Caenorhabditis elegans: one gene and its partner. The protein of the gene in region 2 purifies or fractionates together with the protein of the main gene of each other region. This does not show direct contact. Each region holds a gene or a part of one and is shown on either strand. Other genes may lie near its edges.

The links.
Region 1: the proteins of lst-4 (region 2) and apb-1 purify together in Caenorhabditis elegans (affinity purification with western blotting, with the first as the bait; one study listed by BioGRID). This does not show direct contact.

The regions. Positions count from the first base shown.
Region 1 is NC_003281.10:2,593,233-2,600,282, forward strand, and holds the start of apb-1 (AP complex subunit beta), read right to left. Parts: upstream 3,803-7,050; 5' UTR 3,791-3,802; coding exon 3,754-3,790; intron 3,699-3,753; coding exon 3,457-3,698; intron 2,640-3,456; coding exon 2,246-2,639; intron 126-2,245; coding exon 1-125. Other genes in the region: mdt-19 (Mediator of RNA polymerase II transcription subunit 19), read left to right, coding at 4,829-4,919, 4,966-5,233, 6,082-6,322.
Region 2 is NC_003282.8:14,060,379-14,070,820, reverse strand, and holds lst-4 (Sorting nexin lst-4), read left to right. Parts: upstream 1-2,350; coding exon 2,351-2,626; intron 2,627-3,791; coding exon 3,792-4,013; coding exon of another isoform or gene 4,014-4,088; intron 4,089-6,158; exon of another isoform or gene 6,159-6,161; coding exon of another isoform or gene 6,162-6,198; intron 6,199-6,419; coding exon of another isoform or gene 6,420-6,619; intron 6,620-7,393; coding exon 7,394-7,750; intron 7,751-7,790; coding exon 7,791-8,131; intron 8,132-8,196; coding exon 8,197-8,300; intron 8,301-8,355; coding exon 8,356-8,433; intron 8,434-8,492; coding exon 8,493-8,659; intron 8,660-9,218; coding exon 9,219-9,452; 3' UTR 9,453-9,816; downstream 9,817-10,442. UniProt on the Caenorhabditis elegans protein: Involved in the signaling of vulval development by acting as a negative regulator of epidermal growth factor receptor (EGFR) signaling. Aids in phagosomal membrane tubule formation which is required for phagosomal fusion with endosomes and lysosomes.

The DNA.
Region 1 (7,050 bases), on a different chromosome or scaffold from region 2:
CATGTCGATCAGCTTCATGAGCACTTTTACGGTGGAGAGAACGACGGCGGCGTTGGCGTGAGCCAGACGGGGAGAGATTCGCTCACAAATGTTTTGAGTTTCACGTTCGTCTCGTGGGGTGTAGCCTGGAATTTTAGATTTTTTTTTTTGGAAAAAAGCCGGAAAAAATCAACAAAAAAAAACGCTTTTTTTTAACTTTCTTAGCTTGAATTTAAAAATTTTATGGAAAATTGAGCAAAAACGCGGGAGTTTCGATGTTAAAAATTTTGAAAAATCTTTTTAAAAAAATTTAACAAAAAAACGTTTTTTCTCGAATTTTATTTTTTGAAATTAATTTGCATTTTTTAATTTTTTTAGCCTGGAATTTTAGATTTTTTTTTTGGAAAATTGAGCAAAAAGGCGGGAATTCAATGTTAAAAATCGGAAAAATCGAAAAAAAAACGATTTTTTTAAAAGAATTTAATTATTTTAAATTAATTCTTTTTTTTTCAAGTTTTTCAACTTGGAATTTAAGATTTTATGGAAAATTGAGCAAAAATGGCTGGAATTTCGAAGCTAAAAACCAAAAATATCGAAAAAAAAAACGATTTTTTTTAAAGAATTTGATTATTTGAAATTAATTTGCATTTTTAAAAATTGTTTTAGCCTGAAATTTAGGATTTTTTGGAAAATCGAAAATTTGCAAATTTCCTACAATTTTCATGCAAGCGCGATTTAGATTTTTCCTAGTAGAAGCTCGGGAGTTTTCAATTTTCCTGAAAAAAAAAATTATAAATTTGCGATTTTTCTCAAAAATCCATCAGAAAATGAAATTTTTGCAGATTTTTCTTCATTTTTTGGAAAAAATTGTTTTTACAGATGTTTGAGCCGAATTTTACAAAAAATTTAGCGTTTTGCCGCCAAATGCCTAACGAGACCTAACAGTTGGCCGTGGAGCGCACTTGCACACATCAATTTCAAAAATACGCATTTTTCTGCGTCTCTATAATAGAAAAAATGATGAAGAACTAGAATTTCGAGAGAAAAAACCAAAAAAAAATGGTGGAAATATGTAGCCTGGAATTTAAGATTTTTTGGAGTTTTTTTTTTTGCAAATTGAGCAAAAAATTAGAAATTTCTCTAGAATTTTTTATTTTTCAGGTCTAAGTTTTTAATGGAATTTTTTTTCAACTTTTGGTTTTTTGAGGAAAAAACCGGCTTATATTACTAAAACTGAGTATCAGATCAGAATTTTCATAAAGTTTCTGGAATTTTTTGTCATAGAAATACTTTGAAATATCAAAATTAAAACGTTTTGCTGTGCTTTTTAAACCTATTTTCACTATCAGTTTCGGAAAAATAAAGACTTTTCGCCGCTGAAATTCGAAAGTAGCGGTTTTTGTTGCAAATTTGGGGTTTTCTTAGAAAAAAAATACAATTTTCAAGATTTTTCATGCGAAATTCGTCAGGATCGGCAGCAAAAGAATTTGAAAACCGAAAAATCTAAATTTTGTATTTAATAGAAAATGTAAGCTAATAATTGAATTTTCTCGTTTTTTAGAAATCTCTTCAAGCTATAATTTTAAAGTGTAAAAAATCGATTTTTTTTCTGTTAAAAACTATAAAATTTCGATTTGTTTTCAGATTTTTCTCTGGATTTCAATTTTCTTTTTTTTTCCAACTGCAAATTTTCAATTTTTCTCAAAAAAAAAACTATCAGAAAATTAAATTTTTGCAGATTTTTTCTAATTTTCTAGGAAGAAAAAAAATGTTTTACTTCGAAATTTTAAAATTAAAGCGTTTTTCAGAACTATATTATTTATTTTATTGGATTTTTCTCGGTTTTGAAGCTATTTTGAATATCAATTTCGAGTTTTCGCCTCTGAAATCTGAAATTAGAGGTTTTTATTGTAAATTTGGGGTTTTCTAGGAAAAAAAAATACAATTTTCTAGCTTTTTCATGCGAAATTCGTCAGGATCGGCAGATAAAGAATTTGAAAACCGAAAAATCTTATTTATATGTAGGTTTTCTGGTTTTTTTTAATCTCTTGAAGCTGGAATTCTAAAGTGTAAAAAATCGATCGAGAAGTTTCATTAACAAAATTCGATGCTTTCAGACAATTTTGAGTCTAATAAGGCAATTTGAAAAAATTCGACTACACACCTTGAAAGCTTTTTTTAAGTTTTTTAGGTGAAAAATTGCTCAATTTTACGATTTTTTCACTTTTTTTCCACGATTTTCAACACTTTTTTGCTGAATTTTTACCTGCAAGAGCATCCAAAATGAATACTTGTCCCCATTCAGTACACTCATTCAACGCAGTCAATAGTTTATTAACCATTTGACTATTCACTTCAATTACAGTCTGTTGCTCATTCATTTCAGTCAACGCGGCAACCGCATTCGCCACAACCATCGGATTGGCATCGGAGAGTAGATCGTTGAGCAACTCAACGAATCCCTGCTCCTTCACAAGAGCCGGATTCATGTCGTGAAGCTTTGCAACACAGACTGCGGCGGTTTTTCGAACGTATGGATCCTCATCCTTCATACATCGACGGAGAGGATCACAGAGGTATTCGGTGATCTTTTCAACGCGAATACATCCCATTGTACGGACAGCAAGTGCACGGATTAGAGGATTCGGATCTTCACAGTCCTGAAAAATTAGGAAAATTATTGAAAATTTCCGAAAAATGACCGAAAAAAGCTGAAAAATCGGTTTTTTCCTGTTTTTTTCCCGGAAAATTGTCATTTTAATGATTTTTCGAGGAAAATTATGGTATTTTTGATTTAAAAAATGTTATTTTCAAGCTTTAAACGAGAAAAAACAAAAAAAAAATTCGCGCGGGGCATTTTTACAGTTTTTAAGCAAGTTTAACAGCTTTTTGAGTAAAAATGAACTGAAGGAAAAAACCCGCAAAAAATGTAATTTTCCTCTCAAAAGTGATAAAAAGTTGCTCCTCTGCAAATTTAACAGCTTTTTGGGGAAAATTTCCACTATTTTCTCAAGATTTGGATCTTCACAGTCCTGAAAAAAGTGCAAAATTATTAAAAATTTCCGAAAAACGACCGAAAAAAGCTGAAAAAATCTGGTTTGTTCTTGCTTTTCCCCGGAAAAATGCCATTTTTATAATTTTTCCCCGGTTTTACGAAAATTCGGAGAATTTTGCCGGGAAATCTGAAACGTCTGGGATAATAATGGTATTTTTAAATTTAAAATAATTTTATTTTCAAGTTTTAAATGAGAAAAAACAAAGACAATTCGCGCGGGAGTGTTTGCAGCTTTTGGGCGAATTTCTTATATATTTAAGCAAAATTTCAGCTTTTGGAGCGAATTTTCAGCATTTGAGCAAATTTTCAGCGTTTGAGCAAAATTTTCAGCTTTTTGAGCGAATTTTCAGCTTTTCGAGCAATTTTTACAACTTTTTGAGCCAATTTTCTACTTTTGAACCTTCTCAAGCTGTCTCCCCTACCTTAACAAACGTGTTAACCGCCATAATCGCGAGATCAGGCTGCGATTTCGCGTAATTCATCAAATACAGATAGACTAATTTCTTCAATTCAACATTATCCGTCTGCATACAATTCACCACATCGGGAAATAGAGCGCTGACGTCTTTTCCGACTGTCATACTGGCGATAACCTTCTTCACAGCCTCTTTTTTCTTCTCCTTTTTGTCAGAGTTGAGCTCATTTTTCAGTTCGAATATTTCTCCTGCAATAAAAATTGGAAATTTGAGTTAAATTCATTGAAAACGATATAAAAATACCTTTCTTTGTGGTGGTGAAATATTTGGAGTCGGTCATCTTGTGATACCCCTGAAAGATAAATGTGAAAAAGGGTAAAAATTCAAATTTTCGTAATAAAATCGAGGTTTCAAGGAAATTGGAGCCGCAGAAGTTGGCGGAGATGCAGAATTTTGGGCGGAAAAGAATGAAAAATCGATAAGTTGCCGTGTGCGCAAAGATTTCCGTCCCGCAAAACCTCCAAATATTGCCGAAAAGGGAGAGAGAAGGACAGAGAAAAAGGGATAAAAGTGGCCACGGAAAGTGCGCAAGCAAATCGGGGAAACGCGTCAGTGGGGAGCCTTTGCGCGTTTTTGGATTTATTTTATTTTTATTTTAATTTCTCGATTTTAAACGTTTTTTAATGTTTTTTTGAAAGAAATCGTTGATGAATCTGGTTTTTTGATACATTTTTCGCATAAAGTTGATAAAATATGAATTATTGTTATTAAAAATTTACTATTTTGACCAAAAATTATCCACAATTTGTTCGTTACACCAATTTTCATGTTTCTGGCTAATTTTTTCCGAAATATTGCATTTTCCAAGTTATTTTTGAATTCCCGCGCAAATTAAAGCAAAAGAAAAGTTAAAAAAAAAAACGAATTTCTGACCTTTTTTCACTTTTTATATAGTTTTTCGATTTTTTTTTTCCAGAAACATTCCAGTTTTCTGGAATATTTTTGAAATCCCTGTGGTCATCTTCAACTTTGCAGACTTATAATCTCTGAAACTACTGAAATTAGCCGAATATTGCGAAAAATGACTTGTTTCGAATCTAGTTTCAAACAAAAAATTTAAAAAAAGGCCTAAATCTGTACTTTTTTAGTCTTTAGAACTGAAAAAAAAAGTTTTTTTTTACCGCTGAAACCCCAAAAATTAGGCGAAATTGACTCAAAAATGTTTCAAAACAAACTTCAAACCAAAAAAAAGCTTACTTTTTCACTCAAATTCTAGGATTTTGCTGGAAAAATCCCACTTTTTTTTCAATATTTTCCCTCTTTCAATTAAATTAATTGAATTTTAAAAATCTCCCGGCTTAAAATTACAATTTCAGGCATGAACGAGCCATCGGCCTGCTCGGGGCCGCCCGTAAAGAGCAAAAGCTCGAAAAACGAGCCATTTTACACATTAAAAGCTCTACTTCCACGTGAGTTTCTTCAAAAATCTGCTCAAAACCCAATTTTTTATTCCAGCGTACAGCGAAATTCAGGGAAATCACGATCTTCTCATGTCGTACGAGCTCGGGCCTGTTGAGGGAGGATTCAGTGGTAGCAGACGAGTTAAGGAGAAAATCTCCTCGTTTTTGCCGCATATAATCGGCGAATTTCACTTGGACGCGACGAAAGAGGCGAGCTCACTGCGAGCTCTCATCGAAAAACCGCCGATTCACAAGGAAATTTCGAATTTGACGAGCTCTTCGATGCAGGGATTCAAGCTTTCTGCTGGGCCCGTCGATGAAAGGTGCAAATTCGACGATGTTCTAGATTTTTCTGATTTAAAATTGAAATTTCCCATTAATTTTGATGTTTTCCGCAAAATATTGCGGAATTTCGCTATTTTTAAACATTTCTCCCATTTTTGTAGAAATCGCTGCGAGACCCAACGGACGATAGGGACCATGCACCTTTAATTTTTGTAGATTTACTGGTGGCATTTTAAATAGTTTTAGGCCAATTTTTGCACAAAAACGGTGGAAATTCAACTGAATAAGCACAGCGCCACTCTTTCGAACATTTTAATTCAATTTCCGCAAATTTTTGAATTAATTCTGGCATTTTTGTAGTGATCGTTGCGAGACTCAACAATCAATAGAGACCATGCGCCTTTAATTTTGTAGATTTACGGAAATAATTTTTTAACAGTTTTAGCCCAATTTTTGAACGAAAACGGTGAAGTTTCGACAAAATAAGCTTATCGCCACTATTTCGAACGTTTTAATCAAATGTCCGAAATTTTTTAATTAATTCTCCTATTTTTGTAGAAATCGCTGCGAGACCCAACGGTTTTAATAGTTTTTGGTCCAATTTTTGCACGAAATCGATGAAAATTCCACAAAATAAGATTAAATATTCAATTTTACAGGTCAACACCAACATTTTAAACTTTTAAATAATTTTTCCGCTATTTTTCAGACAAATTCTTGCATTTTTGTAGTGATCGTTGTGAGACCCAACCAGCGCAAGAGACCATGCGCCTTTAATTTTGTAGATTTACGGGAGGCATTTTTAACTTCTTTTTGTCATTTTTTGCGCGAAATCGATAAAAATTCCACAAAATAAGATTAATTAATTAAAATTAAATTTTTCCAGATATCGCCACCTATTCGAGCGCCGAAAAGAGGAACCAAATCTGGCGTACAGCGAGAAATTGAATTTAATACGGGTTCGGCAACAATACGACGCATATGGATTTGATGATGATGAGACGGAGAAAGGATTTCCGAAGAAACACAAGAAAAAGAAGAAGGATAAGAAGAGAAAGAAGGAAAAAGAAGAATTAGGCGATGCGGAGAAAAGAAAAAGAGCCGCCGATGAGCCAATGGAGTTTTAGGGGGGATTTTGGGTGGGTTTAAGCTCAATTTTGAGGAAAAAAAATGAATAAAAAAGTCGTATTTATTAAAGGTGGTGTAGCGCCAGTGCCTCAATGACCGAATATCATGATAAAAAAATTCAAAAAAAATTTCTAAAATTTATATGATTTTTTTTAAATTGAAAAAATCTCAGTTTTTGCCAAATTCCGATTTGAATTTCCGTTTTATTATTTATTTATTGTTATTTTGCCTTATTTTTCACCGATTTTCCAAGTTTTCAGTGTATTTTTACATGGAATTTGAAGAAAAAGTCAAAATAAATTAAATTTTCGATTAAAAAGCATTTTTAATTCAATTTTCAGATGATTTTCGCGCGAAATTTAGGAAAAATAATTAGCAAATTATGAGAATTTCGAGTAAAATTTTAAGAAAAAAAACATAATTTTTTCAGTTGATTTTTTGAACGTAAAAGAGCTAGAAAATTTGGAAAAAATTATTGAGGATTCTTTAAAAAAATTATCGCCAAAAGTGATAAAATTGGAAAAAACCCAATTTTTTGAAGAAATCTTCTAGTTTTTGGTAAAAAAAAAAAATTTAAAAAACGCATTTATGCGATTTCGAACCTGAATTGATTAATTTCACGGATTTACGCTTTTAAAGTAGCTTTTAAACCAAAAATTTGCATCTGTTTTGACTTTTTCTTCGAATTTCTTGTAAAAATACACTGAAAACTTAGAAAATCGGTGAA
Region 2 (10,442 bases):
TTTTTCCGAAGTTGATTGGCTTTTGTGTTTGTGACCATAAAGCTGCTTCCTTTCATATAACTGTATTGCTTGCGTCACCCCCGGTGGTTTGTGTTGCGAAACCGTTTTCCAGATGATTTCGCAAGATATCGGATGTCGTTGGCTATGTCTAATTATATTTGTTTGAATAGGGAATTTTGTTGCTTTGCCGAAAAATATGTGCTAAACGAACACTTTGTGTGTTGTGTTTTCGGAATAATCGCATTAATTCTAGAAAAGTCTATAAGGAAGATTATAATTATTTCGTGGTCAATAATAAATTGCTGATCTTCTTATAAAAAAGTATAAAATCATAGATTGATATCACTGTGAAAGAAAAATTCTTGAAAATTAGTTGAAAAAATAATAAAAAATTGCTTACTGTAAGCGCGCTCCAATGACAATTTTTGGCTGTAAGTGCGCTCCATTGACAACTTTTTGCGGCGGGAATTTTAATATTTGAATTTATTTCGAAAAAAAATATTATTTTCGAGCGATAAAGGTTAATTTTGTCAGGTTTTTATGCGAATTTTTCCCATTTTTCTAAAATTAAATTGAACTGGACCCTTTCTAAAGTTTTTTCTGTGAAAATAACGAAAAAGCACTCTGTAAATTCTTCAAATTGCTGCATTTTGTCTTTTAACAGTGTTTTTTTTTACCCAAAAATGCACTTTCCCACCCAAAATTCAACAATTTTAATCATATGCCTATGGAAATTTGACACCTATTCCTCCTCCTCCCTAAAAAACTTCCCAATTTCACCAGTCATCACGAGTTGCCGCGTTGTGTATTGAAATATTGGCTGACTCATTGTTTATTTTTTATTGATTTCTCATATTCTCTGCTCGCTCGCTTTTTTTGACACTTATCAACTGAAAAACCTTGCTGAAAATTCAGTTTTACTCTTTTTCTGGAATATTTTAAATTAAAAATTAACATTTTTTTCAGAGAAATGGCTCAGGTGAAAGCCGAGTATGATTTTCAAAGTCAACCAAACACAGGCGAACTGTCAATCTCGGCTGGCGAAGTTTTGACGGTTATTCGAGAGGTAAGAGGCTTTTTGAGCAGGTGGAACAGAGTTGTTCGAGGATTTTTTGAATCGTAAAATGAAACAATCGGCTAAATTAATTTTGAATTCCCGCGTGAATAAATCGGCGTTTTCCCGTTTTCTGGCGAAATTCATCTGTTTTTTCTTAATTTTTTGTTTAATTTTTGTTTTAAAACACTGATTATTCGTTTTTCAGGCATTTTTCCGAAGCGAAAACTCGATTCCTCGAACAAAATACGCAGAAACTTTAAATCTGGCCAAACGTTGATAATTTACATAATTTTGTCAAACAAAAAAAAACTGATAAATGGTGTAAATTCATTGGTTTTGTCAGATTTCCAGGCGTTTTTCCTGAAAATTTCTTATCAATATATGAAATTCCTGATTTTTAGGCCAATTTTCGTCCGGAGAACAAGTTTTCTCCGCGGAAAAATGTCTGAAAAACTGATAAATGGCGTTTTAATTCAAATATCTCTTTAAAAAAATAAGAAAAACGAAAGAATTTACCCAAAAATGGAAAAAAAATCACAAAAAGAATTTATTATTCGATCATTTCAGCCCATTTTTTTCTATAATTTAAAGCAAAATCAAGAGTTTTTATTTCAGAACATCGACGGAGGATGGATAGAAGGTCGAAACGTGCGTGGATCCGTCGGACTCTTTCCCGAATCCTACGTAACTCCCTATCAAGCTTCTCGTCCGCCACCGGTAACCCATTTGTCTTCTAGTTAACCCACTTTCTCATCTATTTCCGGTTTTGATTGTATTTTGTGTGTGTGTGTGTGTGTCTTCGTTGTGTGTCTTCGTTGTGTGCATTTCTGCGGGGAGCATCTAAATTGGTTGTGGTGAGCCAAAAGCATCAAAATGATTGAAATTGCCTTCTCATCAGCATTTTGAGCTGCTGGAACCCTCTAGAAATCGCTGAATCTGATGCTTGTTTCCGAAAAATATTCAAAACGGAGAGAAAGATGAGTAAAAGCCCATGAAATTTGAATAATAAAAAAGATGGTGGAAGAAGAACGCAACAAAGAGGAGTGAGATGAAGCGGAAGAGACTGGAACAAAATAGAAAAAAAAAGAAAGAAAAACTATTTTGAAATTGGTTTTTCCTCGGGTCCCTGGAGACGTTCGGATCCTCCTACTCACTTGAAGACGGCGGTCCAGATACTTGAAAACAAAATAAGTAGATTCTCAAAGAAGCTCTATATACCTGATTCGTCTTATATTCCACTCATTCTGCCAAGAGATTTCCTACTTTTTATCCGACTTTTCGATCTTTTCGCGAATGCTCTTCACATCGAGTCTTCGAAAGGCCGTTGAGAACTACCCAACACCACCGGGCGGCTCATCTGAAGATGCTCATCGGCAGCTTCTCGAACGTCGTCGCAAACAGATGCTTCGACGACACACGTGTAGTACACTCATCAAACAAGACACATCTGCTTCACCGCATAAGATGAAGCCACCTATTCTGATGGAGGAAGAGGATGAACAGCATTCCACTGGGAAGCACTCGTCTAGAAAGAGCAGTTTTAAGAAAAGTGGAGCAATATCGAAGAGTGTAGGGGTTTTGTGTAGAAGATAATCTTTTCGATTCTTTCCAAACCTCTCAGAAATTCCTCGAAATTCTGAGGCAAATTCATAGGTGCACGTGGTGTCAGAGTGTCTCATTTCGGTTTGACCTACGTAGATCTACAAAAAATGCGGGAGAAGAAACGCAGAGTTCTCCACTAATTTCGTATGGTTAAGAACGTGCTGACGTCACATATTTTTGGGCGAAAATGCCCGCATTTTTTGTAGATCAAACCGTAATGGGACAGCCTGGCACCACGTGTAGGTGCCAAACAGAGTAAATTTTGACAATTTGAAATTTACATTCGCTCACATGGTGCCAGGCCGTCCCATTACGGTCTGATCTACAAAAAAAATGCGGGAATTTTTTGCCCAACAATGTGACGTCAGCACGTTCTTTACAATTCAAAATCAGATGAGAACTCTGCGTCTCTTCTCCCGCATTTTTTTTGTAGATCAACGTAGATCAAACCGAAATGGGAAACTCTGACACCATGTGTTCGCTACCAAACTTAATGAGGTCGATCCTCAAATAGGACACCGCTGGAGACTCCACAAAAGCTCACAACAGATTTGTTTTGTTATTCTACAGTAATCCTACAGTACTCCTACCGTACCATATCACAAAATAGAGCTCTAGTAGTTGGTTACGGGTCTCACCACGCTGACAACAAGTTTCTGTTACTCGTGTCGATTTACAGTTGTCAGCGTGGCGAGACCCATTTTCTTGTGACGTATACGTAATAACTGTAGCTCCCAGAGTGCTCCATTCCGGCTTGATCTACGTTGATCTACAAAAAACGCGCGAATTGAGACGTAGAGTTATCCACTGATTTCGCACAGTACCATTTCGCTTTGATCTTCGAAAATGCGGGAGAAGAGACGCAGACATCTCATCTGATTTCGCATGGTTAAGAGCGTGCTGAAGTCACAATTTTTCTTGAAAAGTATCCCCGCATTTTTCGTAGATCAAACCGCAATGAGACAGCCTGACACCACGTGTGCACGGTTAAAAACGTGCTGACGTCACATTTTGTCGGGCAAAAAATCCCGCATTTTTTGTAGATCAATCCGTGATGGGACCACATGACACACAGATCCCATTTCAATTTTCTAACTTTTTAAACAATTTCATAAATACTCAAAAATTCCAGGTCCTACCACCACCACTCCCACCAACTTCAAGCGGTCCACCAGCTGCCTCATCGCGTCCTTTTGATGATTGGGGAGGCGCTTCAGAAGTTGCTGCTCCACCATCCTACGGAGCCCAACATCATCATCAGCCAACGCCATCTGTACCGGAAGTCACTAGATCTTCATATCCATCACAGAATGATGATTTTGACGATGAATGGACGGATGAGGATGATGAGCAGGTATTTTTAAAATTTTATTTTAATTTTTTGATTGTCCAGTTTCTGTCCGTCCTATTTATACCCTCTAACTCCTAAATCTATATATCCTAAAAGACCAAACGAAAAGTCCAAAAAGAATAGTCATCCTCCTCAAAAATCGCCGGGAAACGACATCGTTGTCGTCGCCGCCGCAACTTGGTTTCCGGTAGAAGTCGTCTCTCCACTCCGTCGCCGCTGGACCCTCTTCTCTTCGGACATTTCATTTCTAATCATTCGAAATTCTCTCTCTTCGTCGTCGGCTGCGACTATTTAAATGTCATCCAGATTTATTTGCTACTACTACAACAACTTCTGCTGCTGCTGAAATTTTCGCGAATGCTGTTTGCTCGTGGACGATCCTCGAGCTTTATCGCTCTAGATCATCTACAAGTTAATCAGTCGCCGTCGTTTCAAAATGTAAAGGACATTTTTATTTAACTGGGATTTTTTATTTAGAATTTTTTTAAGTTTATAGGTTTTATTAATTTTACTCCAACTAACTCTAGCATTCAAAGGTTTTTTCTTAATACACGTGAAGTCAGAAAGTCCCATTTCGCACTTTGATCTTCGAAAAATGCGGGAGGTGAGACGTAGACATTTCAACCAGGGGTGTGCGGCAAATTTGCCGAATTTGTCGAATTTGCCGTTTGCCGAGCTCGGCAAATTTCAAAAAAGTAGATTTGCCGAATTTGCCGAGCTCGGCAAATTTCGAAATTTGCCGCACACGTCAAAAATTTGACAGTACAATTTTGACTAAAACTATTGATTTTTTAGCCAAAAATTTAGTAAAATGATACAAAATTGAGCTATTTTGATGCTTAAACAGACATACTACGCGGAACTTATTCAGAAACCAGATGTGTGTTAAGAATTCAGTAGTTTTGGTGCTCCAAAAAACATAAAAAAAATATCAAATTTTTCCGAGTTTGTTAAGCACGGCGAGTTTGCCGAATTTGCCGAATTTGCCGAGCTCGGCAACTTTGCCGAATTTGCCGTGCTCGGCAAATATTGAAAAAAAGAGATTTTCCGAATTTGCCGAGCTCGGCAAATTTTGAGATTTGCCGCACACCCCTGATTTCAACTGATTTCGTTGATAGCGTGCTAACGTCGTAATTTTTCTGGGAGAAAATTCACGATTTTTTTGTAGATCAAACTGTATTGGGACACACCGCTCCACTGCAAATGAAAACTCTCCGCCCCCAATAAAATAGGTCTCGTTGGGTATTAAACGTGCTCAAAAAAATCATTAAAACAACGGAAAATTCTCAAAAATTGGCGAAACTGATACCTAACGCCAAATACACGGGGTGTCAGGCTGTCCCATAACGGTTTGATCTACAAGACGCGGGAATTTTTCGCCCAGAAAAATGCGACGTCAGCACGCTCTTAACCATACGAAATTTGCTGAAAAATCTGCGTCTAAATTCCCGCATTTTTTGTAGATCACGCCGAAGTGAGACACTTTGACACCAATACCTAACGAGACCTATGGTTCGGGGGCGGAGCACCTTTTCATGTCGGTTTCAAAATTAATACTACGCATACAATTAAAAAATCACCCTGAAAAACAAAAAAAAAACCCAAATTTTCTTCTCAAAAATAGGGATATCCCTTCTCAACTGCTCTTTGCAACACCCCGCGCTTTATATGTGCAAGCATCTCTCCTGATTGCTGCTATTGAGAATCCCCCAGCACTCTCCACCAGCTCATTTTTGCTCTGTCGCCACCCGACGCCTCTCGAAAACTATCATCATGTGTTGAGTCTTTTTTGGTGATCCTATTGGATATCCATACTCACATATATATATATATATGTATATATATATATATACATATATCCATATATATATATACATGCAAAAATGCGTCGACTGCGTCAATCGGACGCCGACGTCTTCTTCTATAACCGTCCTATTCCTATTACTGAAATTCGTGGATTTCATAGGGCGAGCGTCTCGTTCTCACCGTCGTGGGTTCGTTTTTAGATATTTTAGGGGAAACGTTCAGCGTTCTAGCACTTTTTGTAATCCGTTGATTAAGGAACACCGTCTGTCCGTCCATGATCAAGTTGTGAATTATCAAAACTCGATTCGTCATCATCATCATCGTGCAAGTGGGTCTCGAACGGATATGTCCACTGACGACGAGACGAGGAGTAGTCAGCAAGGTTATTAGAATAGTTCTTGTCGGCGAAGCATTCGGACATCTATTACACATTCGTTGGAAGGTTAGATATTGAAGAAGAGATGATGTTCCTCGCAACGAAAAAACGTGGAGCCACGTGGCTTCTCTGTTTCTCTCTTTTCGATCTCTCATTTCCCGCGAATGTGCAATTACAAGATTTTCAAAGCATAGTGGCTTTAACAACGCTCACACATCTCATTGCAGACGGTGCCTACCCCTCTAGCAAAAGAAACGGTAGTGTGGGCTCGTCTACCCGCTCCACGAGCACCAAAAAGCGCTTGAGTAGGCAAGATAGCACCGCCCGACGGAGACGTCTCAGTGAGGAGAGAGATAGTCGACGGAGAGTTGAGAAGTCGGTGAGCTCGTGTTTGAGCTCGAATCGGTCTCACCACGATCAGAATAAGGTTCGGGTTGTTCGATAAGTTGTTTCAAGTGGTGTCAGAAAGTCTCAATCAGGGCTGAGCAGTCGCCCAAAAAAATCGGCGATCGGCGATCGCCGATCGCCCAAACTTTTTTTTTTTCGGCGATCGGCGATCACCAATTTCCGAAAAATTTCGGCGATCGGCGATCACCAATTTCCGAAAAATTTCGGCGATCGCCGATTGCCGATCGCCGATCGGCTATTTTAACCGAGTTATTCGGTCAAAACACCTTTCCGTTTTTTTGTTTGGTAAGGAAATGCGACGAAAAATTAACATTTACTCAAAAAAAAAATTAAAAACAACAAAACAATCGTTTAAAAAAAACATGAGATTTTAAAAATCGAGATGAATTTATTGAAAAATTCCATCGGCGATCGGCGATCGCCGATCGCCGAAAAATCACGAAAATCGCCGATCACCGATCGCCGATTGCCGCTCACCCCTGGTCTCAATGCGGTCTGATCTACAAAAAATGCGGAAATTTTTCGCCCAAAAAAATTGTGACGTCAGCACACTCTTAACCATGCGAAATCAGATGTCTGCGTCTCACTTCCCGCATTTTTCGTAGATCAGAGCGAAGCGGGACTTTCTGACTCCACGTGTTGTTTGAGGCGTACGGGACTGCTCGTTGTTCTGATTGGCTTAAAGTATCAAGCTTCCTTAACTATTGAGGTTGTTATGTAACGCATGCATGTTTTCCTTATTTGTGTCCAAAAAGTTATAAAATAAAAAAAATCAAAAAATTCCGATTTCCAGGAACCAACTCGGCCCAACGTTCAATCCTCGATCGGCTCGAACTCCCGTCGTGACCTCAGCCGTAGCCACTCGGAACACGGTGGACCTGATCGAGGATCCAATAAGGTCAACAAGAACATCAATCGATTCTCGAATTTTGTAAAGTCCGGAGTCGAAGCGTACGTGATTGGTGAATCAAAGACCACCTCACAGATTAGTGAACGACATGAAGTTGTGATGAACAATGGAATTATTCAATGGAAACCGATTCAACAGTACTACACGTGTATAGTGGATAAACCGAAGAAAGAGTCAAAGCTGAAAGGGCTGAAGAGCTTCATCGCATATTCGATTACGTCGAGTTTGACTAATATTCAGGTAAATTTGTAGATTTCGACGCTTACTAACCGCTTGCTAGCGTCAGGTATCCCGTCGCTACAAGCATTTCGATTGGCTCCACGAGCAGCTATCGGCTAAATATGTGCTCATTCCGATTCCACCGTTGCCAGAGAAACAGGTCGCCGGAAGATACGAGGAGGATCTTATTGATCATCGGAAGCACATTCTTCAGTTATGGGTCAACAAGATTTGTAGGCATCCAGTGTTGAGTCAGTCGGAAGTTTGGCTCCACTTTATCAGTTGCACCGACGAAAAAGATTGGAAGAATGGGAAGCGGCGAGCTGAAAAGGATGAATACATTGGTGGAGCTTTCCTGAACTGTATCACTGTTCCACATCAACCATTGGATCCGAATAATGTGTAAGAAACTAATAGAATTCTACGCAGAAAGTTTGATAATCCTGCGTAATCCTACATGTTTCCAGCGATATGCAAGTTGAACGATTCCAACGGAGCGTCAAAACATCGGAAGAAGCGATGCGTGTGATGCAGGAGAGAATGAACATGTTCCAGAAGGTCTTCGCTGGACGTATGTTGGAAATTTTCGAGCTTTAAAAATTTAAATTAAAAAAATCAAATTTCAGCGGTAAAACAAAATTGGCAAAAGATGGGAAGCGCGTTCAAGACACTTCAGCAATCTTTTGAGATTGATGAGACCGTTGGTATGAATCTTTGGATTTTTAAAAGTTCTTGGATAAATTTAAAAATTCTAATTTTTCAGCCAGTCGCCGCCTGACAGAAGCTCTCGCCTACACTGCATCAGAATATCATGAAATTGGGCAAGTATTCGATGCGCACACGAAGAATGACATGGAACCAGTGCTTGAGAACCTTTATTCGTATAAGGGAACAGTGCAAAATGTGCCGGATATTATTCAAGTGCACAAGGTACTGAACAGAGGCCCTTATATCCTGAAGTGGAAGAGTTTTTGAGGGTTGGGAAACTCTGCCAGGACCGCGACGCAGCCGCGTGCGGAGCGGCTCGAATTAATGTTTATTTTAGACGTTTGCCAAGAATGCGTGATTTTCCTTCATTTTTTGGATTTTTTTTGCGTTTACATGGAGGTTGTCAAATTTTCGAATTATAACAAATCTAAAAATATTAAATTTTTAAGAAATAAATTGAAAATGTTCGTTTTTCCGTTTTTTCGAAAAATATCTTTAAATTTTAACAATTTCTTCTTTTTTTAAGGAAAAGTTTAAAAAATAAACAAAACTTGGTAAAAATAGATTTAAAAAACCTTTATTCTCTGAAAAAATCGAAAATTTTGAAGATTTAAATGAAAAATCACGCATTCTGGGCAAAAAATAAAATAAACTTTTCTCGATCGAGCCGCGCCGCTCGCACCTGCGTCGCGGTCATTAACCCCTCCCATTTCAAGATATGACAGAATCTGAAAGCCCGTGGCAAAAGCCTAAAAACATTCAAAACCCAACAATTTTCCAGCAAGCTGTTCAAAAGTTCCGTGACAGCGAAGGACGTCTCTCGTCGGCCGAGGCTGAAAAGATGAAGCAAAGAATCGATGCGATGAGCTACACTGTAATTGCTGAAGTTCAACATCAAACAGCAGAGAAAGTGGAGGATATGAAATCGACAATGGGCACATATTTGAAGAAACAAGCAATGTTTTATCAGGAAGTGGCGACCAAGCTGACTTCATTAGCCGCTAGATATGATTGATTTTTATTGATTTTTATTATTTGATTGCCTTTTTGTGTCAGAAATCGTTTTCCCCCCATAATTTCCCCCATCATTAAAATCGAGCTAGCTTCTTTTTTTTTGAGTCAAATTCCGAATGTTCATATATTTTCTTCCTACTTTCTAATCCATAATTTTTTGTGCAATTCTACTAAATTCCCGTGATTTCAACTCGCCACATTCTTTGTACCATATATGATGATTGCTTCGTTCACATTTGAAAAAAATCCCCTTTTTGAATATTTATTCGCCTGGTTTCCCCCGTTTTTCTAGTTGCATTATGAGTTGAAAAATCCTTTCAATTTTTTTTTTGAAAGTCTGAATGAATTGTGATGAATATGTACAAGCTAATTTTTTATGCAAAACATTTTAAAAAAACAAAATTAAATCCAAATATCCGATGTACAATCTCCACCGGGATAACGCATCTCGTGAGCCAAATAGGGACCTCCTTCAATTTTTCCAAAAAAAGAGATATACGTAAATCACGTTTAAAACTCAAATTTCGATGAAACTTAATATCAATTAATTACACGGAAATAATTTTTCAAAAAAGTGAACTTCAATGACCTTTAATTAGTACATCTTGATAAGGCTTGGTATATAAGCTTGTAGTTTTCGTCAAAACGATCAGTCTACAGTTTTTCGACGGAGGGTCTGCCGGTATGCTGCCATGATGTTGGACAATTCGAGGAGATGGTGGCAACGAGTGTGCAGCGAGTGGAGAAAATCGAGCATCGGAACAGTAGTTTCCTGCTCCGACTGACGGTGTGGGATGGAGCTGTATCTCCGACGTTTAACGGGTTCCGCCTTGATGAGCTTCCTGTGAAATGAAGCAAGACAAGTAAGTATTTTGTTTTCAATTCCGATACTAGAAAAACCCTAAAAATCTGTTGATAACAGTGGAACCTCTCGCCATTTTTTTGTATTGAATTTTTTATTACAGGAATCTTCCCCACCGACCTCCTAACA